Callithrix jacchus: one gene and its partners. The protein of the gene in region 3 interacts with the protein of the main gene of each other region in a biochemical or structural test. Links are inferred from orthologs where the notes say so. Each region holds a gene or a part of one and is shown on either strand. Other genes may lie near its edges.

Evidence for each region.
Region 1: the proteins of CTNNB1 (region 3) and NEK2 form a complex in vitro, tested with the Homo sapiens proteins (2 studies listed by BioGRID, with this or other methods). The link is inferred for Callithrix jacchus from reciprocal best matches to the Homo sapiens genes CTNNB1 and NEK2.
Region 2: of the proteins of CTNNB1 (region 3) and UBE2B, one has a biochemical effect on the other in vitro, tested with the Homo sapiens proteins (2 studies listed by BioGRID, with this or other methods). The link is inferred for Callithrix jacchus from reciprocal best matches to the Homo sapiens genes CTNNB1 and UBE2B.
Region 4: the proteins of CTNNB1 (region 3) and MAGI3 form a complex in vitro, tested with the Homo sapiens proteins (2 studies listed by BioGRID and IntAct, with this or other methods). The link is inferred for Callithrix jacchus from reciprocal best matches to the Homo sapiens genes CTNNB1 and MAGI3.
Region 5: the proteins of CTNNB1 (region 3) and ERBIN interact in a test that uses a peptide from one of them, tested with the Homo sapiens proteins (2 studies listed by BioGRID and IntAct). The link is inferred for Callithrix jacchus from reciprocal best matches to the Homo sapiens genes CTNNB1 and ERBIN.
Region 6: the proteins of CTNNB1 (region 3) and TAX1BP3 are reported together in a solved structure, tested with the Homo sapiens proteins (2 studies listed by BioGRID and IntAct, with this or other methods). The link is inferred for Callithrix jacchus from reciprocal best matches to the Homo sapiens genes CTNNB1 and TAX1BP3.
Region 7: the proteins of CTNNB1 (region 3) and MAGI1 form a complex in vitro, tested with the Homo sapiens proteins (2 studies listed by BioGRID and IntAct, with this or other methods). The link is inferred for Callithrix jacchus from reciprocal best matches to the Homo sapiens genes CTNNB1 and MAGI1.

What each region holds. Positions count from the first base shown.
Region 1 is NC_133520.1:16,817,681-16,821,180, forward strand, and holds part of NEK2 (serine/threonine-protein kinase Nek2), read right to left. Parts: intron 1,622-3,500; coding exon 1,496-1,621; intron 1-1,495. UniProt on the Homo sapiens protein: Protein kinase which is involved in the control of centrosome separation and bipolar spindle formation in mitotic cells and chromatin condensation in meiotic cells.
Region 2 is NC_133503.1:32,758,552-32,762,661, forward strand, and holds the start of UBE2B (ubiquitin-conjugating enzyme E2 B), read left to right. Parts: upstream 1-1,310; 5' UTR 1,311-1,430; coding exon 1,431-1,474; intron 1,475-3,563; coding exon 3,564-3,644; intron 3,645-4,110. UniProt on the Homo sapiens protein: E2 ubiquitin-conjugating enzyme that accepts ubiquitin from the ubiquitin-activating enzyme E1 and transfers it to a E3 ubiquitin-protein ligase. In vitro catalyzes 'Lys-11'-, as well as 'Lys-48'- and 'Lys-63'-linked polyubiquitination.
Region 3 is NC_133518.1:79,033,669-79,037,633, forward strand, and holds the end of CTNNB1 (catenin beta-1), read left to right. Parts: intron 1-1,123; coding exon 1,124-1,184; intron 1,185-2,171; coding exon 2,172-2,380; 3' UTR 2,381-2,392; exon of another isoform or gene 2,393-2,697; 3' UTR 2,698-3,465; downstream 3,466-3,965. UniProt on the Homo sapiens protein: Key downstream component of the canonical Wnt signaling pathway.
Region 4 is NC_133508.1:151,644,627-151,648,356, forward strand, and holds the end of MAGI3 (membrane-associated guanylate kinase, WW and PDZ domain-containing protein 3), read left to right. Parts: exon of another isoform or gene 1-208; coding exon 209-1,329; 3' UTR 1,330-3,230; downstream 3,231-3,730.
Region 5 is NC_133503.1:143,430,334-143,434,409, reverse strand, and holds the end of ERBIN (erbin), read left to right. Parts: intron 1-44; coding exon 45-119; intron 120-1,501; coding exon 1,502-1,609; 3' UTR 1,610-3,576; downstream 3,577-4,076. UniProt on the Homo sapiens protein: Acts as an adapter for the receptor ERBB2, in epithelia. By binding the unphosphorylated 'Tyr-1248' of receptor ERBB2, it may contribute to stabilize this unphosphorylated state.
Region 6 is NC_133506.1:67,211,012-67,215,076, reverse strand, and holds the start of TAX1BP3 (tax1-binding protein 3), read left to right. Parts: upstream 1-1,265; coding exon 1,266-1,304; coding exon of another isoform or gene 1,305-1,839; intron 1,840-2,990; coding exon of another isoform or gene 2,991-3,091; intron 3,092-3,196; coding exon of another isoform or gene 3,197-3,322; exon of another isoform or gene 3,323-3,465; intron 3,466-4,065. Other genes in the region: EMC6 (ER membrane protein complex subunit 6), read right to left, coding at 297-629; uncharacterized protein LOC118153673, read right to left, coding at 1,149-1,839, 2,991-3,091, 3,197-3,322. UniProt on the Homo sapiens protein: May regulate a number of protein-protein interactions by competing for PDZ domain binding sites. Binds CTNNB1 and may thereby act as an inhibitor of the Wnt signaling pathway. Competes with LIN7A for KCNJ4 binding, and thereby promotes KCNJ4 internalization.
Region 7 is NC_133516.1:47,811,806-47,815,878, reverse strand, and holds the start of MAGI1 (membrane-associated guanylate kinase, WW and PDZ domain-containing protein 1), read left to right. Parts: upstream 1-1,273; 5' UTR 1,274-1,894; coding exon 1,895-2,207; intron 2,208-4,073. UniProt on the Homo sapiens protein: Plays a role in coupling actin fibers to cell junctions in endothelial cells, via its interaction with AMOTL2 and CDH5. May regulate acid-induced ASIC3 currents by modulating its expression at the cell surface.

The DNA of each region.
Region 1 (3,500 bases), on a different chromosome or scaffold from region 3:
ATGATGTTTACCTTATAGCTCTGATGTATTCACTACTTTCAGCACTCAATACTCTAAAATGTCTCCTTGCCCTAGTGGATATTCGATTCCTATGGCTCCTATTTGCCATGATTCACATATAAGTAGATTCCCATACTTACCTGTGTATCCTATAAAGTAAAACACATCATCCTTACTTAGCTATGCTCATTCTTTGCTCAAAGACTATCGGGGCAAAATGTAAATAAACTCTTTAACTGAAGTGCATCCCAATAGGGTCTTAAGTAATTCTCTGCAATGGATTTGATGCATGAAATTTACCCAGGTAAAATTTTATCCTCATTTTATCACCCTAATCATTATTTAAGTCTATTTTGTCTTTATGGATTACAGTGTGAAATATATGAAAAGCCTAAATAATTTTATAATGTTGAAATGGTAGATGGCAATATTGAGAACAAAAGAAGATACCTGAACAGAGATGAAGCCAAAGTTTCCTATAACCCTTGTTTCATCTACTTCTATCAATGGTTTCATTTCTTTCCATCACGTAATCACTACAATGTTATTGTGATCATCAATCTAACTTAAGCAGGGTTTTTTTGTCTGTTCCATTTACACAATGCTGCCAATGCTCACTAAATTGATCACATTACATCTCAATTTATTAAAGATGGAAATAATAGTTTTCATATATGCTGTCCTACATGGAATAAGGTAGTTATAAAAACTCTAAATTATATTGAAAATCAGATGCTTAGCTTTTGAAACCACAAACTTTCAGTAGTTACTTTGTGTCATAAAGAAATCAAGCAAAACAATGTTTCACAATTTGCATTTTACATAGAATCGATTAAATTAGAGGGAGGGTTTCTATGGAATGGAGAAAGAATGTTAGACCATGGTTCACTGGTCTATACGATAACCACATCTCGGTGCGGCAGTGAAGGGACAACGCCACACAAAGGCAGGGCCCGGAGAAAGCTGAATATCAGAAGAAAATGCAGAGAACATATGTAGACATTAAACAATCAAATTTTGACAAATATGTTTCAACTTGAAAGGGTGTTAGCAAAGATTCAAAAGTGACAGCCTATCCTGGAGGTGGCTTATCATGCCTTTTAAGCCATGATTTCTAAGAAAGATGAAGCATGCCAGTATTAAAATGTTGATCTATATTTGAAATGCGGTTTATGTCTCTAAAATCTGAAACACAATAGTTTTATAAATCCCCTAATTGTTAAAAATAAGTATCAAATGCTAAACATGTAGTTTGGTAAGGTAAAGAAAATCAAACATGAAATTATATGACTCATTGCCTCAGGTCTGTGAACCCAGTAAATCATTGCTATAACAGAATTTTGCTTCCATTGAAATGCATATGTTCAATGAAATCCGTCTTAAAATGCGAGACTTTGTAAATGAAAAGGGCTACCTAAGCCACTTTGGGAGCAACACTGGTGCACATGTCTTCATTTGAAGCACCAGTTTCTGTTTACCGAGTTGCTTCTCATACCTGGACTACTTGTCAGAAACAGGAACTTCTCTTCCTTTAGCAAGCTGTAATTCTTCAGCAGATTTTCTGCTCTAGCCAGTTTGTCCTCTGCTAGTCTCTCACGAACACAAAGCTCCTGTTCCTTCTCTTTAAAAAAAAGAATGGACAAAGAAAGAAAAAAATTAACAAGTGACCTTGACTATAAAACAATTTACATTTGGCTATCTTATCACTAAGACTCGTGTGCCTGATACTGATAAGCAATGTTTCGGGAAAGGATTCTAACTAAGCCTCAGTCAACCTGATTGTGCTAGTTTTTAACTGAGCATTTTAGTAGGCTGTATGTTATTTTAGATTTTCTTCAAAGGACTTTTTAAACAAATACAAAGTTAGCTTCAACCTTTGGTCATCTTTTGTGGGAGTAACTCATTTGGGAAAACAAAAAACTAAAGCCATCTCTGCTCTTCACTGAAGATAGGCAATATGTTAGGGCATGATCTGGCCTCACAGTACAACATTTCCTTCCTCTGGTTAAATGACCACATCCAAATAAAAGGAAAAAAAAATTCAGTTAGGCGGTAGTTTGTAAGATTAGTATTAATAACAAAGGCTACTATTTATTCGTGACCCCAAATTCAGAAAGCATTCAGATTTCAGTCTCTCACGAACACAAAATTTTGCTGTACAAAATTATGGCTGGGCATGGTGGCTCATGCCTGTAATCCCAGTACTTTGGGAGGCTGAGGCAGGTGGATCACCTGAGGCCAGGAGTTCAAGACCAGCCTGGTCAACATGGCAAAACCTTGTCTCTACTAAAAATATAAAAATTAGCTGGGCGTGGTGGTGGCCGTTGTAAGCCCAAGCTACTCAGGAGGCTGGGGCAGGAGAACTGCTTGAACCCGGGTGGTGGAGGCTGCAGTGAGCCAAGATGGTGCCATTGCACTCCAGCCTGAGCAACAAGAGTGAAAGTCTGTCTCAAAAAAAAAAGAAAGAAAGAAAGAAAGAAATTATGAAACACTGGGGAAAGTTATAAGAAAAAGTTTTCTTACTTTTTACAGAGGTTTCCAAGTAAGCAAAGGTTGTACCTATACAGTAAGCATATCTCATAGGACTATACAATAGTTCATTACGTAAAGTCTGCATTGGGCATAAAGCTGCAGAAGTGAAATCAGGTGAGTCATGTGGGCGACAGGTAACAGATCCCCATCTCTCGTCTCCTAATGTTAAAATGAAGAGCCTCACTGCTGTAGCTACCTTACACAACCCTAAATACCTGCTATTCCACCAGCTCTCATCTTGGTGGAATAGACACACTTTCAACATCAAAACTAAATTAGCACCTAATCAGTTAATACCCATTAAGTCAACATTAATACCCACCAGAGTATTATTTATAGACTTGAAATATCTTGTACCTAGATTCTCTATTGAATTGCCTGAACAGACCAGGTGTTGTGGCTCACACATGTAATCCCAGCACTTTGGGAGATGAGGTGAGAGGATCGCTTGAGCTTAGTTAGGAGTTCAAGACCAGCCTGGGCAATATAGTGAGACCCTATTTCATTTTCAAATATAGTTTAAAAAAATTAAATTGCCTGAACATATCTCATCTATATACTGTAGGATTTTAGACCTGAAATTCTGCTGGAGTGGCCATTTCAGAAGACAAAAGTCATGGTTTTTAGTATAGAAGGCAGCAAATTCTAAGACCTTCTTTTATAGGGGGAAAACCTTAGGGTGTTTATGGTAGAGACAAAAAATTAAAAAGTAACTTTGCGGTAAAGTATAAGGCTAGCATGTTAGGGCCATCACAGTTAAGGCCCAATAATATATATGTAGCAACTGATCCCAGAGAAAGACGTCCAACATGCAAGTGCCAGCAAGCTTGACTATTAAAAGTCTACAATGCACATTTTGGTTTCTCAAGTATTCATTACATTTCTAATACGATCTGTATGTATAAAATATTCTGCTCAAAGAGATATTCAGACACATCAAAATAACCCACTTGATAGTTCCGCTTTGC
Region 2 (4,110 bases), on a different chromosome or scaffold from region 3:
CCATGCCCAGCTAATTTTTGTATTTTTAGTAGAGACGGTGTTTCACCTTGTTGACCAGGATGGTCTCGATCTCTTGACCTCGTGATCCACTCGCCTCAGCCTCCCAAAGTGCTGGGACTATAGGCGTGAGCCATCGCACCGGGCCTTCAGGCTAGATTTATAACCCTCACTCATATCTACAGGAGCTCTCCCCCAGGTATAAATCATATTTGTAGGTTTCTTTGACAACCAACCACTCATTGATAAGCCTGGAAGTCTGCAACCCCACATTCCTTAAAAATATACAATGGTACAACCCCCTATAGGCAAGTCCCGGACTCTGACACATATCTTCAAATGAAAGCAGACCCAGAAAGGAAAAACTGCATAATACACCATCCTTTAATGTTTGCCCAAAATTTTCAATACTAGAAACCCCACTGCAAAGCTGAAAGACTATTTGGTAGCTTCAAGGAAGCATTGCAGGATATTGTTGTGTGGGCCTCAACATTCAATGCTGCCTTAGAAGATCGTGCAATACCCTTCTTGCCCCAATAGCAGAGTTGATAAGCCACTGAACCAACCAGAGGGGAATTATTTTTGGTCCCGGTTTAAAGAAAACAAAACGTGACTCATGCCTGTAATCCCAGCACTTTGAGAGACCCTGCCTCTACAAAATGTAAAATAAATAAATAATTTTAAAACCCTCAAAAAAAAAAACAAAACAAAACAAAACAAAACAAGCTGTTGATTCTGCCATGATCTCTTGGGTAATGATGTCTCTAACCTGTAATAAACAGGAAACAACTAATAAAGGTGTAATCTCCCTTGAACCAGCTTCATAGAGCTGGCTGAAACTCACATAGAGGCGAGGCTTTCACGTGACCCATTCTAAAGGCGTCATAGGGACACGTGGTTCTAGATACTTCTCCCCCTCCCCCTCAGGGGTGGATTGTTGACAAGGCCACGGTCAGTCACGTGATCTTACGTCATCCCACCTCCTTTCCCTGAAATCTCTGGCCCGGATGAGTCCCCCCTCTCTCCACCCCGCCGAGTCTAAACTAATGACGGGGAGGGGGACAGATAGTGTTTCGGTTCCGTGGTCTCTGAATCCACAACCTCTAGTGTAAGCACAGAGTACACAAACTTGCCGATCATTTCAGGAAGCCCAGGCTGAACCCAGCCCCGCAGAAGGGCTCGGAGAACGCGCGCTCCAGCGTCCCGCCCCCTCCTCCCCCAACGCTCTTCCGTGGTAGCGGCGGAGGGCGGAGGGATCCGGAGGGCGGAGGGATCCGGAGGCGGCGGAGGGAGACGTCATTGCAGGGTTGTTTGTCAGTCTCGGCGACGGCAGCAGCGGCAGCTACCCACAGTGATTTGGCCGCCGCGCCGGGGGGTGGGGGGGCTGCGCGGGACTCTTTTCTTTCAGACTGACCGCGGGGCAGCTGGGGAGCATGTCGACCCCGGCCCGGAGAAGGCTCATGCGGGATTTCAAGCGGTAAGGGCCTTCACGTCCGCCTAGATGACGGCCCCTCAAAGCTGCGGGGCTGCAGGGTGGGGATCCCGGACACCTTCCCCTTGTGACCCTCCGAGGGCCGGCTGTGGGCCCAGCAGAACTGGCAGAAGCCGGGTCCTAGCCTCGGCTTCCACTACCTTATCCTTGCCTCTCGTTTTGGCGGCCGAATAAATTTCGATACTCCTCCTACCCCCAAAAAGTAAAACGGTGTCGATCGACTGGCCTAGGGTTCCCTGCTGCCCTTTTCGGCCAGCTGCCCGGCGATCAGATTTCCTCCACCCGCCCCTGCACCCTGCGGCGCCCCCTTCTTGTCCTCTTAAAGTAAGCTCCTGCGGGAGTTTGTTCCTCGCCGGCTGCACCGGTCAGCTTTGTTTCACTGCCCCGCCGTCTTCTCCGAGGAGCCGGGTTGGGGCGAAACCCCCCGCACCACGCCCCGGTCCTTTCCATTTCTACCGTGAGGGTGGGGTCCAGTGCGTGAGGCCCGGAGCTTAACCCATCCCCCGAAACCCGACTCTGTCCCCGCCCGCCTGAAAGGACCTTGGGAACCGACTTAGAGATCTGGGACCTCAGAGCTGGCCACCCCGGCTGCCAGTGCCTTCTGGAACTCAGCTCTGGCTGGTGAAGAAAGCCCTATCTATAGCCTCCCGAGTCTGGAAAAATGCCTTCCCTTAGACGGGCGCTAATTTGATACTCCCTGGGCCTCCTTTGGTAAATAAATAGGGTTTTAACTGTTAGGAGGTATTGGGGTTGTGAGAAAGAGAATGATTAGTCCGTCGTTTGCCTTTAATTGGATACTTAGAGACATAGAAAAACATGTGAGAAAACAGCATTTTGATAACTCTGCACGTTTTTCTTAAAATTTTTTTTGGGGATACCTGCCCTAATTGAGACAAAATATCTGGCCTAAAAACTTAGATTTGTCGCTCAGGAAGTCGCCTCTCAACTCAGCCATTATAAAGCCTATGTGAAGCATTTGGAAGCCATCCATTGTTTTGGGCTTTGGCCAACTTATTTAATTCATTGGTAGCTTCTCTTAGCCATTTAAAGGTAGGCGTCAAGCAGTGCAGTTCTTGTGAGGCTTCTGTTCGTGGCGGCCTAATTTGCTTGAAATTGACTAAAAACCTTTTTTTTTTTTAATGTGGACTAGTTGCAAAGTGTGATGCCCCATGAAAACGACTGCATATGTATTTGTGTGTATAATGTAGCATTTTTAATTGACACTACAGTCTCTGAAAGGAGATGCCCTTTTTTGTGCAAAAGTTATCTTTCTAAAGCTTGAAATTAGTGTATTTGCTTGGCACTTGTGACTAAAATTCAAATAGCAATTTAGTTCACGTCATTGTCTCCCTGGCTCCTTACTGTAATGCTCTGCTTAATTCTGAGTTGAGTATATGACACCTTTTGAAGTTTTCCAAAGGTCTGCAGGTTATAAGAATTTGAGGAATGTTGGAAAGCCTTGTATTGAGTCTCCTGATCTGAGAGGTAGATTTGGTGTTAGTGCAGAGCCTTAAAATAGGGACTGGCAGAAAACCTACTGATTACTTTTTAAAGCCATTGCCGTTTGAAGCAAAAGGGATAAAGTAAATCTGCCTAATACTAGTTTTGTAATTAACGTGTTTTCAGTCATTAGTGTTTACACTGAGGTTTGCTTTTCTTTTTTTAGCCATTTTGCAGAAGTACCTGTGGTTAAGACACACAGTCTTTGGATGGTTAGAGCAGCAAAATCGATGGTTCTGTAAAAATATTATTTGCTTTTGAGTTTTTAAACTTTTTTTTGGTTTAAGAGGACAGTCTGTATGCATCAATTCTTGAAGAGATAATAATCTTGATAATATTGAAAAAGGGATGATTCTCAAGCCTTTTACATTTTTAGATAATTTGGAGAGGTATTTAATAAGTGTATATACCTGGTTAATATATTTAAGTCATAGGGTTCATTTTAGTTCACAGTAACAAGGAAATGGAGTTAGTCCCTGTGTCACAATAGATGGTATAGTGTCTGTAGGTGTTTATGTGGCCTCCTTAGTGGCCTTAATGTTCAACTTTTTAAATTACCACTCCGGATTTCTAGGTTACAAGAGGACCCACCTGTGGGTGTCAGTGGTGCACCATCTGAAAACAACATCATGCAGTGGAATGCAGTTATATTTGGGTGAGTTGAAAGGTTTATAATAGGTGTGTGTTGAATCTTTAAGTGAATATATAACAACTGCCTAGGAAAAGAAACTGGGGTGGATTGAGAGATCTTCAGGACTAAAACTACAAGATAAATTAGAAAAAAATTTTTTTAATTAGAATTTTAGCTCATGCCTAGGAGGATCGCTTGAACCCAGGAGTTCATCACCAGCCTGAGCAATATAATGAAACAGTGAGTCTCTCTCTCCCTGCCCCCCAAAAAAAGGAGTTTTGGCCCAGCCTGGGCAACATAGTGAGACCTCATCTCTACAAAAAGTATAAAACTAGCTGGGCATAGTGGTGCACACCTGTGGTCCCAGCTACTTGGAAGGCTGAGGCAGGAGGATCACTTGAGCCCAGGAATTTGAGTGCCATGATTATGCCACTGCACTCCAGCCTGGGCAGCAGAACCAAGACCCTTATGTTTCAAAAAAAAAAGGAAA
Region 3 (3,965 bases):
GCTGTCTAGCGACTGCTCTGAGGAAGAAATGTAATAGAAGCTTTTAAAGAGCCTATTCAGAATCCTTACAGACAAACTGTGCTCTTAAAATGACAGTTCCCAAGAAAGATGAAAAATGTTACCAGATTAAAGATTGTTCAGAAGGGTGTAAGGAAAGGGACAGGGTTAAACACTGTTAGAAGTCAGTTTATCCTGTCTCTACTAAAAATACAAAAAATTAGCTGGGCATGGTGGCACGTGCCTGTAATCCCAGCTACTCAGGAGGCTGAGGCAGGAGAATTGCCTGAACCCAGGAGGTGGAGGTTGCGGTGAGCCGAGATCGCGCCATTGCACTCCAGCCTGGGTAACAAGAGCGAAACTCCGTCTCAAAAAAAAAAATCCGTTTATCAGTATCTTTTACTAAACTTTAATGAAACTTTTTACTTGAATTTCTGCTATGGATCTGTCTTCAGTATTTGTCCTCCATAGGGGTGCTGACTGAAACATTGTTTCTAATAAAACCAGAACCACCTGGAAGTTTGTTTTATCCACTCTACAGTGATCAGTGATGGTACAAGTCCTAGTCATACAGTGGATTATATTTGTTGAGTGGAGAGAGATTGTTAGGTTTAAAACGATGCAGCTCTTAAGGCCAGGAGTTTTAAGACCAGCCTGGGCAACAGAGTAAAACCCCATCTCTACAAAAAACTTAAAAATTAGTTGTGTATGGAGATGGATACCTATAGTCCTAGCCACAGTGGAGGCTGGAGCAGAAGGATCTCTTGAACCCAGGGGTTAAGAGGCTGCCCTCAGTGACAGAGCCAGACTCCAACTCAAAAAAAAAAAAAATGCAGAGCAAATTACCAGTGACTAGTGTCACTTGGGTTTTTAATACATCTTATTAACATGTTCCTATATTATATATAATATATACTTGTTGAAATATCAAGTCAGTATTTTTAATATGAGGTGCAAAGAGAAAAAATGTATCTTTGAGGGGTGGAGTTTTGAAGAACTTCATTTTCTAAGCATGTCTGTAATGTTGGAGTTACTTGTTCCTTTTACAATCTGAAAGTATGCTTCAAAAAAAATGAGAGTGTACTTTTACTTTCTATTCTTCCTTGCCTTGTGCCTGTTTATCTAGACTGCTGATCTTGGACTTGATATTGGTGCCCAGGGAGAACCCCTTGGATATCGCCAGGATGGTATGTGCCTCATATTTCTTAACTCCAGATCAAGCTAAAGTTCTAAAACCTTATCAGAAGAGCCACTTTGCTCATCTGGGAAACCAGTGTTGGCAGAAAAGTAGTGGCTTCCATTAAAAGCAGTTCCTAAATTCCACAGTCAGCAACAGTATCTCTAATGGAGCACAGGGAATGCAGAGGCACACACTGAGCATCAGTAGGGCTACACCACCACCAGAGAAACGCTGCTGCCAGGCCTCTGCCATGCAGGGTGCTGCAGTTTACCTGGTTCTTCATTCTCTTTGGCCAGAGGACTCACAGTACCTTTGTCTACAGCCTACCCAAGGCAGAAAGGCTCCGATTGGGGTTGGGGGTTACATAGTTGCATTATCAGGGTTTTCTTGAAAAGTTCATTCAAATCTGGATAATGAACATGGAGGATGGGGTAGACCACTAACAACTATAACTACCTTGGATTTATAACCTCATCTGCTTCTACCTAATTATGAAACCACTAAAGTGCAGGATTCTTGCTGTGACAAATACATGTCAAGCCTGAGGTAAAATTTGTTGAGGTTTAATTGAAATGGTGCCTTGAGCTTTTTTAGGACTTTTGTGGGAGTCACTGATAGATTACACCTGCCAGACCTCAGTATTTATTGTCTTGATCCTCTTCCCATGACTTCTCACTGCCTAGGTGGTCACACACAATTAGATCATTGCTGTTCATCTTTGGGAACCCCAAGTCTGATGGGTAAATGCAGAGTGTTCAGGGTTAGGCTGACGGTGTGACTCGGCCCTGCTGGTGTGCTGCTCGCATAGTCTCATGGGTGGCCCAGCACTGAGTCATTACTTGGCTAAAGAAAGCTATAAGTTGAAAGAGACTAGAAAGCATTGTTTTCCAACAAGTTTGCTGCTAAACTTCGGATGCCCTAACCGCAGTGTTAACGTCTGTGTCTGTTTGTCTCCTCTCTCTGGCCTGTTTTGTTGCCACTCTGCTTCTTCTAGACCCTAGCTATCGTTCTTTTCACTCTGGTGGATATGGCCAGGATGCCTTGGGTATGGACCCCATGATGGAGCATGAGATGGGTGGCCACCACCCTGGTGCTGACTATCCCGTTGATGGGCTGCCAGATCTGGGGCATGCTCAGGACCTCATGGATGGGCTGCCTCCAGGTGACAGCAATCAGCTGGCCTGGTTTGATACTGACCTGTAAATCATCCTTTAGGTAAGAAGTTTTAAAAAGCCAGTTTGGGTGAAATACTTTTACTCTACCTACAGAACTTCAGAAAGACTTGGTTGGTAGGGTGGGAGTGGTTTAGGCTATTTGTAAATCTGCCACAAAAACAGGTATATACTTTGAAAGGAGATGTCTTGGAACATTGGAATGTTCTCAGATTTCTGGTTGTTATGTGATCATGTGTGGAAGTTATTAACTTTAATGTTTTTTGCCACAGCTTTTGCAACTTAATACTCAAATGAGTAACATTTGCTGTTTTAAACATTAATAGCAGCCTTTCTCTCTTTATACAGCTGTATTGTCTGAACTTGCATTGTGATTGGCCTGTAGAGTTGCTGAGAGGGCTCGAGGGGTGGGGCTGGTATCTCAGAAAGTGCCTGACACACTAACCAAGCTGAGTTTCCTATGGGAACAATTGAAGTAAACTTTTTGTTCTGGTCCTTTTTGGTCGAGGAGTAACAATACAAATGGATTTTGGGAGTGACTCAAGAAGTGAAGAATGCACAAGAATGGATCACAAGATGGAATTTATCAAACCCTAGCCTTGCTTGTTAAATTTTTTTTTTTAAACTATATCTGTAATGGTACTGACTTTGCTTGCTTTGAAGTAGCTTTTAATTTTTTTTTGGCAGTAACTTAGTTTTTTAAGTCTCTTGTAGTGTTAAGTTATAGTGAATACTGCTACAGCAATTTCTAATTTTTAAGAATTGAGTAATGGTGTAGAACACTAATTCATAATCACTCTAATTGTAATCTGAATAAAGTGTAACATTGTGTAGCCTTTTTGTATAAAATAGACAAATAGAAAATGGTCCAATTAGTTTCCTTTTTAATATGCTTAAAATAAGCAGGTGGATCTATTTCATGTTTTTGATCAAAAACTTTATTTGGGATATGTATGGGTAGGGTAAATCAGTAAGAGGTGTTATTTGGAACCTTGTTTTGGACAGTTTACCAGTTGCCTTTTATCCCAAAGTTGTTGTAACCTGCTGTGATATGATGCTTCAAGAGAAAATGCGGTTATAAAAAATGGTTCAGAATTAAACTTTTAATTCATTCAATTGTGTCACTTTTTTTTTTTCTTGTCATTAAATGGTTTGTGACAGTGGTTACTTGATCCAACTCAGCTCCATGCTGAGGAAGATACATAGTGAAGTAATTTGTTGTAGTGATAGAGAAGGCAGGCCCTCTCTAGGTGAGATTTGCCAAGTTTCTTTAGCATTTGGCCCTGCATTACATTGCACCCCCCAAAAAAGTGTTTCCACCTTGTACACTGATTAATTCTGGGCTTTTGTGAGAGAAAGCCAGACAGTGTCTATCCCAGTCCCCTTCAGATAATATTTCATTATTACCTAAATGGAACGAAACTAACTACCTGGGTTTGGACTTCAAGCACCTTCACACGAGTGTGACTCACTGGGAGAGGGGAATTCCTTTAGCTCCACTTTGAACTAATAAATAGGTTTAAGTGTTGACATTTATCTGAACATAAACAGAACTAGAATGAGCCTTTCACGCTATCTGCCAGATGGTCCTATCATCCCAGTGGTAGGTCTGACAA
Region 4 (3,730 bases), on a different chromosome or scaffold from region 3:
CTATATAAATAACCTATCCTTCATGTATGAACAGATGTCTAAATACATCTGCCTTTATAGAAATATGTTATAAACATATACAGGCTGTATAAAATACTCATAAGCTTTTTAAGCAGTCAGTACAATTCAGATGGCTGTCAGAGTTCAAAATGTATTGTGCCTATTTCTAATTCTAAAATTTAATGTTCCATTCAAATCACTTTTTTAGGTGATTGGGAAATTAATAATCCTTTATCTTCAAATGTGATTTATGATGAACAGTCACCATTACCCCCATCTTCACACTCTGCTTCCATATTTGAAGAGTCTCACATGCCAGTAACTGAAGAATCTTTAATGAGAGTTCAGATATGTGAAAAGGCAGAAGAATTAAAGGACATTGTGCCTGAAAAGAAAAGCACTTTACATGAAAATCAGCCCGAGGTAAAGCATCAGTCTCTTCTCCAGAAAAATGTGAGTAAGAGGGATCCACCCAGCAGTCATGGGCACAGTAACAAGAAAAATCTATTAGAAGTAGAAAATGGTGTTACCAGAAGAGGTAGATCAGTTAGTCCCAAAAAGCCAGCCAATCAGCATTCAGAGGAACATTTGGATAAGATTCCTAGTCCTCTAAAAAATGACCTCAAAAGAAGACCCAGAGATCGATCCCTCAGCCCCAGCAAGGGGGAAAATAAAAGTTGTCAGGTCAGCACCAGGGCAAGGTCTGGACAAGATCAGTGCAGAAAAAGCAGAGGTCGGTCTGCCAGCCCGAAGAAGCAGCAAAAAATTGAAGGAAGCAAAGATCCAGCAAATGCTAAGGCCAAATTATTAGAGGGTAAGAGTCGAAGAATAGCAGGCCGTGCAGGCGATAATGCTGAGGAGATCCCAGATGGGAAGGAAAAGTCAGGCGTCATCAGGAAAGATGCAAAGCAGAATCAGCTGGAAAAAAGTAGAACAAGGTCTCCAGAGAAAAAAAGCAAAAGAATGGTTGAGAAGTCTCTTCAATCCAGAAAGACTAGTAACACTACAAGTAAAGTAGTATCTGAAAATGAAAAAGGAAAGAAAGTAACCACAGGAGAAACAAGTTCTAGTAATGATAAAATAGGAGAAAATGTCCAGATAGCAGAAAAGAGGCTGAAGCAAGAACCTGCAGAGAAGATAGTTTCAAACAGAATAGAAGATCACAAAGGGAGAGAACTAGAGGCAGCTGACAGAAGCAAAGAGACTGGAAGATTCAAACCTGAAAGTAGTTCTCCAGTTAAGAAAACACCGATAACTCCGGGGCCCTGGAAGGTGCCGAGTGGAAATAAAGTCGCAGGCACTACTGGTGTGGCTGAGAAACGGCAGTAACCTTTAGTATAAAACAAAGAAACACAAGTTGTAATCTTTTCTTACAGCAGCATTTTTCCAGAAAAAAAAAAAAAAAAAAGCCTTTTTCTTTTCAGATATTCTGAAACAGATAAGTACATGTTAATGTGAGCATCAAGTTACCTAGGCTGCATGAAGGGCCTTAGGATTGCTAAGAACCAACTGTCCCCCTGGCTGGCTGTCCTGCCTTGCACTCAGGAAGGAGCTGCATCCACATGCTCATCTGATCCGCCCTGCTCAGGCTGCCCAGCTCGTCTTAATGAGTGTCTGAACAAATGTTGATATTAACAGTGTGGTCACAACTCACTTTGTATTTGTGCCAAGTTATCTACTGTATCATGTCTGTTTTTATCCTCGTTCAGCTATTTCCACAGTAAAGAACAAGTTAGGTTTGGCTTGGAAGTTGATGTCCTCAATAGCATGTTGCATGTTTACAGAGAGAAATATTTGAGTCCTTGCAGAGGAAGAGACTGTCAACTCACCATTAAAGATGGCACTTGTCTCTTCCAACAGCTACTGATGATGTCCCAGTTTAAAAATAAACCCCCCAAACATCACTAACTTCACAGGAAAAAAAATGTAGTCCAATACTGATGCTTTCTTATGGCTTTATTTTAATTTGGCTGGATAAGTTGTTTCAAGTAAGTGTTAAAGATAGTACTTACAACTGAATGTTTGAAATGAGAAAGTACTTAAAGCAATAGAGTCCATCTCCTGCTGTGTTATCCAACATTGATGTACAGTTACGGCATCTCAGGTCACCCTTTTTATTTGTTATTTCATTATGAAACCATAAAGAAGCATGTGGAAAATAGTGTTTATTGCTCTTTGAAGAAAAACCACCAACTATTTCTGGATATTTTGGCTTTACCTACTACTAAAGTCATTAGTCTTTAATACATAATGCATATTTGAAAAGGAAACATATACATCATGTGAGGGACTTAACCACGAAACCAGTTTCACAGTCCAGGTACCAACTCTTCTGGTAGCAGGTGTACAAGCTTGGGTGTTTAGAGCAACCTATGTAAGGTATTACCCAGCAAGTAAGGACAAAAGTGTAGACAGTACTTACTGGATCTTATTTAACTTTTAGCTACATTAACTTTCTTACTTAAAAACAAGAAAGGGAGACTAAACATCTGCTTAGCTTGTACACATTTTCAGAATTCTTTTAAAAAGTCTAGTTAAACGTGTTTCTTAGAAGTTGGAGACTGTTAACTTCCGTAAAATAGATCAGGTTTTTCAGTTCCCTGAAGCAGCATTCAGTAGCATCTATAAATAAAGGCACCTTCTGAAAATAAAAAACTCTCTTATGGAGTGTGTGAACACACTTGTTCTGTCACCCTGGGTTCATCTTGTTGTGAAGCACATTATGTCCAGGTCCTTCCCTCTGGGAGTCTGACTGTGAAACTCTTTAACCCAACAACTGTATTAGCCCCTGTAGATAAGACATGCTTCCCAGAGTGAGATTTTTGAAATCCCTTTTCATCCAGAACTGTATTTACACACCTATTGTAACTATTCAAATAAAGCAAAATTATTAGGAGGCTTGATAAATACTAAGAATTTAGTACCACAGAAATTATTTATTTTCCCTATAGTCCACAGATAGTGATAACAAATCCTATTTTTGTTAACGGTGACATAACTTTGATGTCCTATGTTGTCCTATGTGGCTCTTCCTTTCTAAGTAACCTCTGTACTGACTATATACTGACTTAGCAATGTGGCCTTGGAATGCTGAGCAAAATATGGATGTACTGGTTGTAAATGTTTATATATTGTACAGTACCTTTATATATACACTTGAGGTTCTGATTAGAGAAAGATCTGTAAATTGCTCGTTATTTTTTATATAGATATTAAAAAAAAAAAGCAGTTCATGGCCTGCATTTCTTTTTTACCATCAGATTGGTTTAATGTTGCTTTCTGATAGTGGAGCTAGATCCATCACAGACTGAGCCCTCAAATAGATTTTCTCTCTCCAAGTTACAAACATTCAGAGTCCTAAAAATCAGGAAGACGTTTATAGCTATACTTGTATTTACACATAGAGTTTGAAATTGTTTAGAGTTGAATATCATTATACCCATTTTTCATCTTTCATTGTAAAGAAAATAGCTTTGGATAGATAATTTGCTACTAAAAAAAATCCTTTCTTAACACTATTGGGGAGAGAAAAAAGTTTCTTACTGGAAATTCAGCTACTAGACATTTATAATGGATATAGTAACATAAGCCCAGTTACCACAAGGTCACAAAATTCCATTTCATTAGACTAACAATTCACATTATTTTTAAAGGTCATTTAGTTTTATACTTCTTAGAATGAAGTGTTTTTATTTAACTCTATATGAAAAATACCTAAAACCTACTTCAA
Region 5 (4,076 bases), on a different chromosome or scaffold from region 3:
CATACTGTTTTTAGTTAAATAATTACTAATTTTTGTTATTAAAGGGTATATTTGTAACAAGGGTACAACCTGAAGGACCAGCATCAAAATTACTGCAGCCAGGTGATAAAATTATTCAGGTAATTAAAATAAATATATTTTTTAAATTTTATAACACTGTTGTTTTCAGAGTTTAAAATGTATTCACTTTAAAAATTGTGGTTAAAAGTGTGATACATCATAGGATTTTGTTTAAGTTCAGGAATGCTAAGTTTTACTAATTCGAGGGGGATTAGAGTACCACTTCTTGGATGTGGGCTGTTGTCCTTTCAGAAATGGAGAAGAAAAATTTTAAATCTGAGAAACTCTTCTTATTTTTCTCTGTCCCCTCCTTTTCTTTGTTCTTTCAGCTACTCATTTTACCTAAACACTTGTAGTCTTAGGAGGAAGACTACATGGTTATAAAAACTATCAATTGTTCATATTTTAAAATCCCAACTCCTTTGAAGCCTTTAAACAGATTAAGTAAACGAAGAGTTGTTAGCACAAAACCACCAGTGGATCTTTTAGATATCTTATGAAACAAGCCAGTAAAGCCTAGGACACAAGTGTAGCTCTCATTTTCTGCTCTTACTGTCACTGTTCTTAGTTGAGAGCTAAAAAATAACCCCAAACAAAACAAAACAAAAAAACCAGACAGACATTCAAGTCTAGTAGCTGCAGATTCTGAAAGCCAGACTGAGTTTGAATTCTCGTTCCAACACTTTTTTTTTAATAAAATTAATTTTAAAATTTTTTCTTAAATAATTTAAATCTTAGAGAAAAGCCACAATAATTTGCTACATTGTCTTTAGCATTTATTCTCTTTCTTCTCTTCTCCCTCCCTGTCTCTACACACACGCACACACACACACACTCATACAGTTATGCACATTTATTTTTGTGAACCATTTGGGAATCTGTGGTTTCAGTTTTGTAACTGAACAAGTTACTTTCTCTCTCCATGCCTGGGCTTTCTCTTCTCTAAAATAAGATAGCTAAAAAGAATCTTTTTTGAGCGTTATGAGAATCAAAGGATCTAATTCATGTTACACACTTAGAATTGTGTTTGATACACAGTAGAGCCTCAGTAAATATTAACCTGAATTGTGAGAAATATGGTGGACTTGATGTGATGGCTCAAGACAATGGGAAGACTAGGCCTTGCCCTCTGCTACACCACAGTTTGGTCACCTCAGATGCACATTAACGTTATGTAACACCATGTCTGACATTATTTCTTACATAAGTGATTCCTAACTTTGGGCTGCTACATAAGAATTCTCTGAAAAATTGGACAAAATACACATTTCTAGTCTTCAGAGACTATTCCTTGGTTTGGGTAGGGCCTGTGAATCTGTATGTTATTTTAAGTTGTCAAAGTGATTCTTATTTTATTCCAGGTTTGTGAATTACTTGGCAGAAATGCAAATAAATTACTAGAAAATGTTTTTCCTAAAAGCATTTTTCCTCTTTCTTCTAGGCTAATGGCTACAGTTTTATAAATATTGAACATGGACAAGCAGTGTCCTTGCTAAAAACTTTCCAGAATACAGTTGAACTCATCATTGTACGAGAAGTTTCCTCATAAGCACTGTGGACAAAAAAAAGGGGGGGGAAGACAGCAAGATTTATTGGAAGATACTTGCAGGGGAAATTAATATTTTGACTATTTTTATATATAAAGAACTCAAAAAATTATGTTCAAATTTGTACATTAATGAAGTAATGGAACTTGTGGTTAGAGGGAAAGAACCACTGTACAGAATATAAAGAAGACTGTTGAATTCATACCATATAAAACTTGTTAGGTTTTTAAACATAGCAATCAAGGTTACAAAAACAAACCTGTGTTGTTTTTGTATAGATTGTAGGTTTATTTTTGGATTTCATACATGACTGAACTGTGTACAAGGCAATAGTTAGCCTTGATTTTAGCCCAGAGACAGATGGCAGAGCTATCTATCTCATAGCTTTTATGCCCTTATTTTTATTCAACTGGTATTAATGTTTTTCTCCTGAAACTACTTTTTTTGATGTGGGCAAGATATTTGAAGTGTTGGCTTTTGCTATGTGCATATTGAATTGAAGAGTGAGTAGGTGAAGTTGGTGCTGGTGGGTTCACTTTCCAAGGCCAGATTAAAACAGTTATTTTCTATAAAAATCTGGAAGCAAAGAATGGGGACGGGGGGAGCTATGTGGTAGTATGTTTTTATTAAGAGAACAATGCAATAAAATATGTAATGTCTTTTTTAAAAAGCAAAAAAGACAATAATTGCATTTAATGAGCTCTACAGGATCTGTTGTTGTCATAGCCATTGACTGTACATTTGTTACTGGTGATACAGTTTTTAATTTTTTAGTCACAGGAAAATTTTAACTCTACTGTAGATGCATGTCCATGCATTTTCTGTGTTATGGAAATCCCGATTTTTTTTTTTTTTGCAAATGGTGGTACTCACAATCTGTTTTATAATTAGTGCTCCATTTAAATCTAATTTATAATTTTTATTTTAAGCAGCAAATGAAACAAAAATGGCCAGTTTTAAGACTGTGTTGCCTGTAACACAAAATGTAAGAAAGTTTAGTAGGAAAGCCTCTTTTTTATGTTTGGCCTTGCATCGCCTTGGTAAAGTAAAAAAGGAAACAGTACGCATGGAGCTAGGAAACCAAAGTGAAGTTTGTGAAACTGGCACAGTGATAGAGAATTGCTGTGGAGAGTTGTAGAGCAAAGGGATGGGTCCTTTGAGGCCTACCAGTGTGTAAAGGTGTTCAAATAAAGGGCTGTTTCTACAGGTAACATTAAATGTGAACTCAATACTTCAGAGTCTTTAAAGGGTTTCTACTTGTATCAGTGTAATAGTGTTTTACCACCAACTGCCTTTGTTCCTAGTTACTGTAACAAATATTTGATGATAATACAGGTTTATTAATTTTGTTATCCAGGCCATTAATTTTATTTGTTTTTGTTTTGTGTAATCAAATAAAATGAGTAACATGCAGTGGTAAGGATTAATGCATGGTTATTTGGACCAGAAAAAAGTGCCATAGAAGACCAATAACTGTAGTTGAGGCTAGTCTGGAACCTTTCATCAGAGCAATATTTGGTTATTGCACTTCATTTTATTTACTAAAATGCAATTTGGGAATTTTTAATCTGTTATGCTTTATCAACCTTGATTTTAATTAAGACTTTTATAAGACTAGCTTAAAATACCAACCCATATTATTTTTGCAAAAGCGAGTTGGACTCATGTTCCATTCTTGCTAGTCAGAGTGAATAGGCAGCACTTTTAAAAATATGTGAACTCAAATATTGCACTTCTTTCAAGATGTTATCAATTGGTTATTGTACTGTATAGTTTTAATAATTTTGATTGAAACCCTTTAACAACTCTTTGTAAATTTTAACTCTTTTAGTTATTTTCAGTACTATTTACATAGGAATTGATTTTTATGGATATAGTAGAAGAAATGTGCTGTATTTTGATAAAATTCACTTATTGTATGTGTGTTGTAATCTCTAAAAAAAAAAGAATGACACCTTCTTTAAGACAAGTCTCGGTGTTCCCTTTATTCTTTGTTTTTAAATATTAATTTTTGCATTCTAAAATATTTAACATTCCTTTTACTGATTTCAGATTTTCACAGTCATATTCTACTTTTAATCAGAAATACATTTAATAAGTATAATTGTGAAGTTTTCAACTACTTTACCTTGAACACATACATAGATTATAATTTTGGAAAAGGAATTAAGCCTGTCAGAACAATGAATCTTCAGTTCCATTAACCTTAACTTCATTGTCTGCACATTACATTGAAGTATTCTAAGTGCAACAGGTGTTATATCACTGGTATTTTGTCCTACTATAGTTAATTAAAATTTTATAATATTCTTGCAACACAAAGTTGAATTAAGAAACTTTACCAAGAGAAGTAGTATAGCCAAGTTTTCTTCGAAAATATTGGAAAATTAAAATTAAATGATAGGACTTTTAATTAGAAGTTTGTTTTAATAAGTTTCAAAATTTGAATAAAAGAATAAGTTTTTTGAG
Region 6 (4,065 bases), on a different chromosome or scaffold from region 3:
CAAGGACTTAACACAAGGCTATAGCCAGTCCGCGCTCTCCAGGAGTCAAATCTTGGCGCTTTTGCACCAATGGCAGACTATGCGTTAAGGTAAGAAAGAACTCTACAAAGTGTCTCACGCTTCATTTAATCTGAAGAATATTACAGGCTCTTCGTCTTCAGATATAAATTATTTATAACGTTACAGAACAAGCAGCGGATCGAACCATTTAAAAACTAGGTAAGTCTACACGGTGTTAACTTCTCGCCAGAGTCCTCCCAATCTGGTGGTTTAAAAAAGTCCCCCGGGCCCCCATTTCAGTAGACGTGCACCATGCCATAGAGGAACGTCCAGAACAGGACGTAGGTGAACAGGCCTCCGATGAGGCCTCCTGTAAAGAGAGGTCTTCGTGATTTGAAATATTTGTTCCACCTCCTTCCCGCCTTGAGAATGAGGAGCAGGGAGAGCAGGACGGAGGCGAGCAGGTAAAAGATGAAGCCGTAGAGGCCGGTGAGGCCGAGGATGCCGGCCGTGGCCCCCGACAGCGCTGACACCGAGGTCCGGCAGTAATCCAGGACGGCGGCGTTGCCCCGCACGGCCGCCTCGCTGATGAACGGCGGCCCTTCCCGCTTGGCCACCACCGCGGCCATCGCACCCCCCGGGGCTCAGTTTCTCGCTTTCTGGCGGGACAACGCGGAGCTGTAGAGAAAACCAAGTTACAAGTGGCGCCCAGAGCTCGGCGAGTTGGGTTCACGCCGCCGCCGCCCCCTCCCCCGGAGCTTCCAAGAGCTGGCACCAGTCCTGGGCCTCGGACCTTCAAGAGACGCCGAGAAGGTTGAGGGTCCGGGCCGGCCGGGAGGCGGTGGCGCGTCTGCGTTCTCCGGCCACGCTGACCCAGTTACCTGGAATACGGCGCCGGACACCGTACTTAGCGTTTCTTCAGGCGGGTAGGAGAAAAGACTCCCGCGACGCCATCTTGCGCTGAAGGCTGCCGGGAGGTCCCGGACTGCGCACGCGCCCAGATCCCACCCCGCCCTCCACGCCTGCGCCGTGGGCGCCCCGGGCACGCTCCACCCCCTCCCCCCCAGCCCTTTTTTTTTTGCGCACGCGCCGGAACTTCGGAAAGTGGAGTGGCGCTTCGGCCGGTGATTGGCTGGCGGGTGTGCTAACTATTCATGAGGGGGCGGGCCGAGCAGGGCGGCCTTTGTTAAGCAGCGAGGGCGCGGCCGCAGGAACTCTTCTGCCGGCTTCTGCGAGTGGGGCTGGGCGACCAGAGTGGGGTCGAGATGTCCTACATTCCGGGCCAGCCGGTCACCGCCGTGGTGGTGAGTGCGCTTGCGCGGGCTCCTCCTCGTCTTGGCCCGACCCCACCTCCCAGAGCGGGAAACTGACACCCCAAGCAGGTTGACAAAGCATCGAACCCGGGGTTCCTGCGAACCGGCGGCCAGGGCTCGAGTCCTCGCCTTGCCGGAGCCGGACACAGCTGCCCCAGCCACGGAACAGGGACGGCCGGGACCCGAGAGCCTCCCTAGACCCTGGACAGAGCCCAGACCGCGCGCGCGGGGCGGGGAGGGCCACGGAGCCTGGGAAAGCGCCCCCTTCCCGGGCCTTCGTGTCCCCAGCCGGGCAGCTGAGGGGGGGCGGGCGCGGATCCCGACGTCCATGAGTCGCAGCCTCTGGAATGAGGAAATGCTTCTTCCATTGCAGCCTGCGCCGCCGCCCGGAGGGAGATCTGGGGGTGGGGCTGTCCCGAGCCTGCTGTGGCAGCCCCTTCCCCCTTTCTGTCCAGCCTTGCTGCCCGGCCCAGGGTGGGCGCTCACACAGCTGGGATGAGCATTTCCTCTTCTTGGATCTCCAACCCTTAAGGCAAAAAAAGTCCAGGCCTTCTTTCTGGCACTTGAGACCTGAGGAGACCCTCTGGGGACTAGCCTAGGCCCCTGTCCACCCTCTGGCTTGTTTTAAGTGCTGGGTACTATTAGATTAGGCAGAGGGAGGGAGGCTGGGATATTAGACTCAGACGCCTGTGTCAAGGTGGGACGGGGCCTGGAGGCCAACCCTTTGGCAGAGGTGGGGAGACCCAGAAAAAAGTCTGTCTGATGGTGCTCGGCCAGAAAAGACGACGTCAAGAAAGACTCAGGTCTCCTGTCCACCTCCCGAGAGCGTTGAAAGGGAAGAAATGTCCGCCCGGTGGCCCGGTGGGCAATGGGTCAAGTGAAAGTCCCTGCCCTGGAGCCGTGGGGGCCTGCTGTGTACTCTCAGATGGGTGTGTCCAGCAGTCAGGTGGGTGGAGGCAGAGAAGTCACTGATAAAGGTGGCACTCAGGCCCAGGCCCGGAGGAAGCATTGCCAGACCAGCTGACAGCTGTCCTAAGCTTCCCCTTCCCTGCAGCCCCACACCAGCCTGGAGCTTTTTTTTTTTTTTTTTTTAACACGGAGTCTCATTCTGTCAGCCAGGCTGGAGCACAGTGGCATGATCTTGGTTCACTGCAGCCTCAGCCTCCCTAGTAGTTGGGATTACAGGCACGCACCACCATGCCTGGCAAATTTTTGTATTTTTAGTAGAGATGACCCTATGTTGGCCAGGATGGTCTCAAACTCCTGACCTCAAGTGATCTGCCCACCTCGGCCTCCCAAAGTGCTAGGATTACGGGCTTGAGCCACCTCGCCCACCCAGCCTGGCTTTTCTAGGTTCCTAGCTGCCCCAGAGAGAAGGTACCAGGTTTGCTCTTTAGCTAGAAGTGGGGCAGGGGCAGGTGAGGAGCCAAGCAAGCCACCTTCTATGTGACCTCCCGCAGCAAATCAGTGACAGCCCTGTCCCCCAACCCAAAGGCCTGTATCCTTCTGACCACGTGGAGCAGGCCTGGAGAAGCTGTTCTGGGCATGAGGACACAGGCCCAGTGGGCCTCAGGGATTATGCTGCCTGTCCCCCTCCCTCATGCCGTGATTGGTCTCACAGCCTTCCCCAAAACTATAGGCCCATGCCCCCCAATTCTAGTAACACCAGGAACATGCCTGACGTGGTGTGTGTGGCCTGGCCTCTCCCTTGAGTCTTGGATTGGGGGTGGGGTTGGACAGGCTGACTCCCCAGTCTCCACTGTCTCCCATGTAGAATTCTGAGAATATTAAAGCCACTTAGGACTCTTCCCCTGAACTCTGGCTCCATAGATCCATCTGCCTTCTGGACACCTGCCCCACAGCTCCTGGTACTCCAACTCGACCTGCTCCTCCTCCTTCTGGGTCTCCATCTGGGTGATGTGTTCAGCCAGGCGAGGTGTCTGGATGCTCCTTTGGACTCCTCCTCTGCATGAGTGCTCCCCAAGGCTGTAGATCTCCATTTTCGGCATCCTGCTTTTGTGAGATGTCCGTTCCTCTACTGACCACGAGTAGTCATTCTAGCAGCAGAGCTGACCATGCCCTGCCCTACTCAATTCCTGAGAACTCCAGTGGGTTGAGGATCAAGGTCAGGCTACTCCTCACCCCCTCAGGCTACAAAGAACCCCCTCTTTGGGAAAGCTCTTTAGGTCTAGTCTAGTTCATCATCTTTTTTTCTTTTCCCCTTCCTGTTAAAACTCTCAACTTTTGGAGTGATCTGGTTTGGCTCCTAGCATCTGCCAACTGGAGGGTGCTTGCCAAGGGCTTTGAAAGGAATCTGGCACAGTTGGGGACCACAGCCCCAGAGCATGGTGGGAGTGTCCTAGAACACTCTGCACTGCACGAGAGCAGGGCCCAGGGCTTAGGGAGATGCCCCTACTCCCCTTCCAGGACAGGATGTGGCCCCAGCCATATACTTGCAGCCTCATCTCGACGCCTAGTTCTGTGTCCCGTGCTGTACACTCGTCTCACCAACACGAATCCACAGCACCTTGAAGCCTGTGCTCTCATCCCTGTGGCCGGCAAACCCTTTCTCCCCTTTCTATGCAAGTTTGGTCTCTGCTTTTCCAGAGCACCTCCTGGGAGATGGGCCTCCCACCCACAGAAGCCGTAGCACCCTGACCCTTGGGCCAGGAGGGGCTTAGAGCATATGTTGACCAAGACTAGGGCCTGAGACTCACAGGAGAAGTGGTAACAGGCTGCGGCCAGAGGGCTG
Region 7 (4,073 bases), on a different chromosome or scaffold from region 3:
ACTTCCAATCACCCCGTGAGTTCTTGTTCTACTCATTTGATCAGTGAGAAATGGAGACGCGGAGGTCACCGAGCTTGCTCAAGGTCACACAAGGGTAGATCCCTGAGCCTACCTCTCAGCCTCGACCGCCGTGGCATTCCACCCTTTCTCCATCGCTTCAACATACCACCCTCATTTCTTGGAATCTCTCCTGTGACCAAAGATGAACAAAAGTTATACATCACTAAAGAGGAAAAGAAACTGCTGGGGAGACTACTGCGCAGGCCATTTGAGTATTTGGGAAGGTCAGCCTTCCTGGGGGGCGGGATCCTTTCTGTCCGCCACCTGCCGGGGACAGAAGTCACTTTACCCGTACTCTACCCCCGGGCTGCGAATTCCGAGAGGTGGCCGCCGCGCCCACGCCCCCGCGGGCCAGGACGCTGGGGCACATGCATGCCCGGCGGGGATCCTTATCTCCTGGCCGCGGATGCACTGCCAGAAACTTGAGGCCGGGGCGATGCCTGGCTCCAGCAGTCTCTGCTGGAAAGACAGTTGAAAAGCTAGAGGGATCTCTTTATTGGTTGAAGACCTTAACCCACAATAGCCCCATGGGGTCTCTCTCTCTCTCCTGTAGTTTCTCGTGTCCTAAAAAGTTGGTCCCAAAGTTTAAGGATGCGGGTGTGTGCGATTGTGCGTGTGACCAGCACAGGGATCTCAGTTCGGGGACCGGGGAATCCCACTGTCCCCCTTCCCAGAGTTGCAGAGACCTTGGCAGACTCCGTGCCAGGACCCGAACCCGCGAGCGCAGGGCAGGCGGGGATTCGGCTCGCGCCCTGGGGCGGGTCTCAGGGGTTTCAGTGGGACCTGCGGCTGGGGACGGCGGACCAGCCGGGCTGGGTGACCGACAGCCTGGCCAGCCACTGGCCAAGGGCGGTTAGGAGGCTTAGGGCCGGCGCGAGTGCGTGCGCGTGTGCGTGAGTGTGAGCGCCTGGGTGAGTGTGGCAGCCTCCCCAACCCCCACCTGTTTGAAATGGTTTTCAAATGCCAAAGCCAGATTGCTCGGTTTCAAAAGTTGCTAACAGTTGGAGTAAAACACGTGTGCGGCCCCCCTGGCGCAAAGGAATCCGCGGAGTACACGGCACTGAGAGAAAAGGAGAAGGGAGGAGAGGGGTTCAGGAAAAGTGAGGGGGAGTTGGCTTCTCCTGGCCGGAAGGTTTTAGGACCCATCGGGAAGCACGTTGGAATCTCTCCCTCAGAGGAGGAGGGGAGGGGTGGGCCGGCCGCTAGCGGCCGCGGGGCGCATGCGCGCGCGTCTCCTGTCGCCGGCCGCTGCGCTCCGCGGCGCGGAATAGAATGAACTGTAACAAAACAAGCCGAGCCTTTGTATCTGCTTAAAGGGGCCGCGGGCACTTACCTCCCGCCCCGCTCCCCCCGGCCCCGCCACCGCGTCTCCACGGCTCCCGGCAACTGGCTGGAAGGGCTTCCTTCACCCTCAGGAACAGCACGCCTACGAGGACAGAAGAGCCCGGCGGGAGTCAGAGAGGAGGCACCGCATTTGTAAAAGGCAAGAGAGAAAGGAAGGAAGGAAAAAAAATAACCCGAGCGGCGCAGAGTGGACTCTGGTCCGGGAGAGCACGGGCGGGCGCTGGAACGTGGACCCAGAGGCACCGGAATGCAAACAAAGCTCGCGGGCGCCGGTGCGGGGCTCGCGGGGAAGCCCAGAAAGTTTGTTTTATGATGGCTTGAGTGCGCGAGCGTGTGCAGGGGAGCGAGGCTGCCAAGTTTCTCTCTCCTGTTTTGTGATTTGGGGAGAGATGTTTCTCCCATGAACCAGTGGAGGCTTGGGGGCTTGTGCTGTGGGGGGCACCTGTCTCTCGTTTAATTTTATTTTTTTGGAGGAGGGGTGTAACTCATCATGTCCAAAGTGATTCAGAAGAAGAACCACTGGACTAGCAGGGTTCACGAATGCACCGTGAAGCGGGGACCCCAGGGCGAACTGGGGGTGACGGTGCTGGGAGGCGCGGAGCATGGGGAGTTTCCGTACGTCGGAGCGGTGGCGGCTGCCGAGGCGGCGGGGCTTCCCGGCGGCGGCGAGGGCCCGAGGCTGGGCGAAGGGGAGCTGCTTCTGGAGGTGCAGGGGGTCCGGGTGTCCGGCTTGCCCCGCTATGACGTGCTGGGGGTCATCGACAGCTGCAAGGAGGCCGTCACCTTCAAAGCCGTCAGACAAGGTAAGGCGGGGCGCGCCTTTGGGGGGCGCCCGTAGGAAAGGACGGCTGTCTGTGGGCTGCCCCTCATCCTCGATTTCCCGCTTTCCTCCTCAGAGCGCAGCGAAGAGAAGTTGAGGCCGTGCGCCCTGTGATGGCGGTGAAATACACAAAGTTGTAGCGAGGTTGTGGGTTGTTTGCCCACCTGCGTTTGGAAGAGGGGGCTGGGTTTGCGCTAGGTGGGGGCGGGGGAGGGGGGTTGGGGTGGGAGGGGGCGGACGTTTTGCAGGCCTGGCTGGCCAACCTGTTATCTCCGCCACCAAGTGCAGCGCAGTCTCGCCTGCATCCGAGGGTGAGTCGGGGAACTGAGTCAGAGGCACAGTGGACGCTGTCCTGGCTCCTCTGGGGAGGGATGCAGTTGGCGTTCTTTGGCCACGAGTCAGTTTCCGTACCTGGTGAGTGGGTATACAGAAAGAGAGGGTCTGCAGTTTATTGGACCTCCCCCATCAGAAAATCTGCTTCACCCCGCGACCCCTCCAGGTGAGCTAGGACACAACTGCCTGGTGATTCCTGAGCCCGCCGCCAGAAGAGCCTGCATTCACCCCTCAGCGGGATGACGCAAGTGTCTCCACCGTGTGGCCTAGCCTTAGGCATGGGACGGGGGAGGGGGTGTTTGCTTTGAGCTCGAATCGGGTCCAAGTTTACCCTGCCACCGCCACCACCATCGTTATTATCGATGATGATAATGAAGCTACTATTCATTGTTGATTTACTACATGCCCGGCTCCGTGTAAAATACTTTACTTGCACTATCTCACTCCGATTCACAACAGTTCTAAGACCCAGTGGTTCTTATATACCCCATTTAGAGATAAGGAAACTGGGATTGACATTGGTTAAGGGACTTGAGTAAGGTCACACAGTTGCCAAAAGCAAGGGGTTGAACCCTTGTTGCAGAGCCTTAAGTATGGAGAAGGAAGGAGTCGGGGAATGACCCTACAGGACTGGAGAGGCTGATTCTGAAGGAGGGAATGGAGGCAAATTCCTCTCTCAGAAATCTGTAGAGGAGGGGTGGCCTTTTAAAAGATGCATTTGGTGGTTGCTGGTGATGGTAGGTCCCTTACATCTCACCTTGGTACAGATAAGGGGCTGTCCTCATATCAACCCAGTGGAGAACAACTGAAGTCTTAAAGGGGTCCCTTGTGCAACCAAGTGCCATGACGCAGATTCTCCCCAGGGAAAGCACCAAAGGAAGTGGTGAAATTGAATGGGATGAAAAGTTCCCATTTGTTTCCATAAGGACAGGCAGTAGCTGGAGGCATGTGTCAAAGGAAGGGCTGGGCAAAGGCAAGCTGGTCCTCTCTTGGAAACAGACATGTTCCAGATGAAATTGAATAGGGGGCAGGGGGACTAGACTGGCCTTTTAGCAGCTTTGGGAGCTGAGGAGCTGACACTAAGCTATGGAAAGCTCCTTGCATTTATGACTTCATTCTCCACCTGGATACCTCCTCCAAGAAGCCCTCCAGTATCCTGCTAGGATGAACAAATTCCTCCTCCTTTGGGTCCCTTTAATGTCTACCTTGTGGTTTTTTACTTACTCTGAACTATGAGTTAGGTCCTCATTTCCATACAAGGTAGTGAGCACATTAAAGGGAGAGATTGTGCCTCATTCCAGGCATATCTCTCCAGGCTTTGCATGAGGTTCAAAACGTTGCCTAGCCTAACAATGCGTCTTCCTCACACTGACTTTCTTGTGGGTATTACATAAGCTAACACGTGGAAAGTTCACCCAGCAGTGCCTGTACATAGTGAGTGCTCCATAAAGATTAGCTATTTATGTTTGAATGGATTTTGAGCAGCTATTTATTTCTGAAACTAGTTTTTAGTATC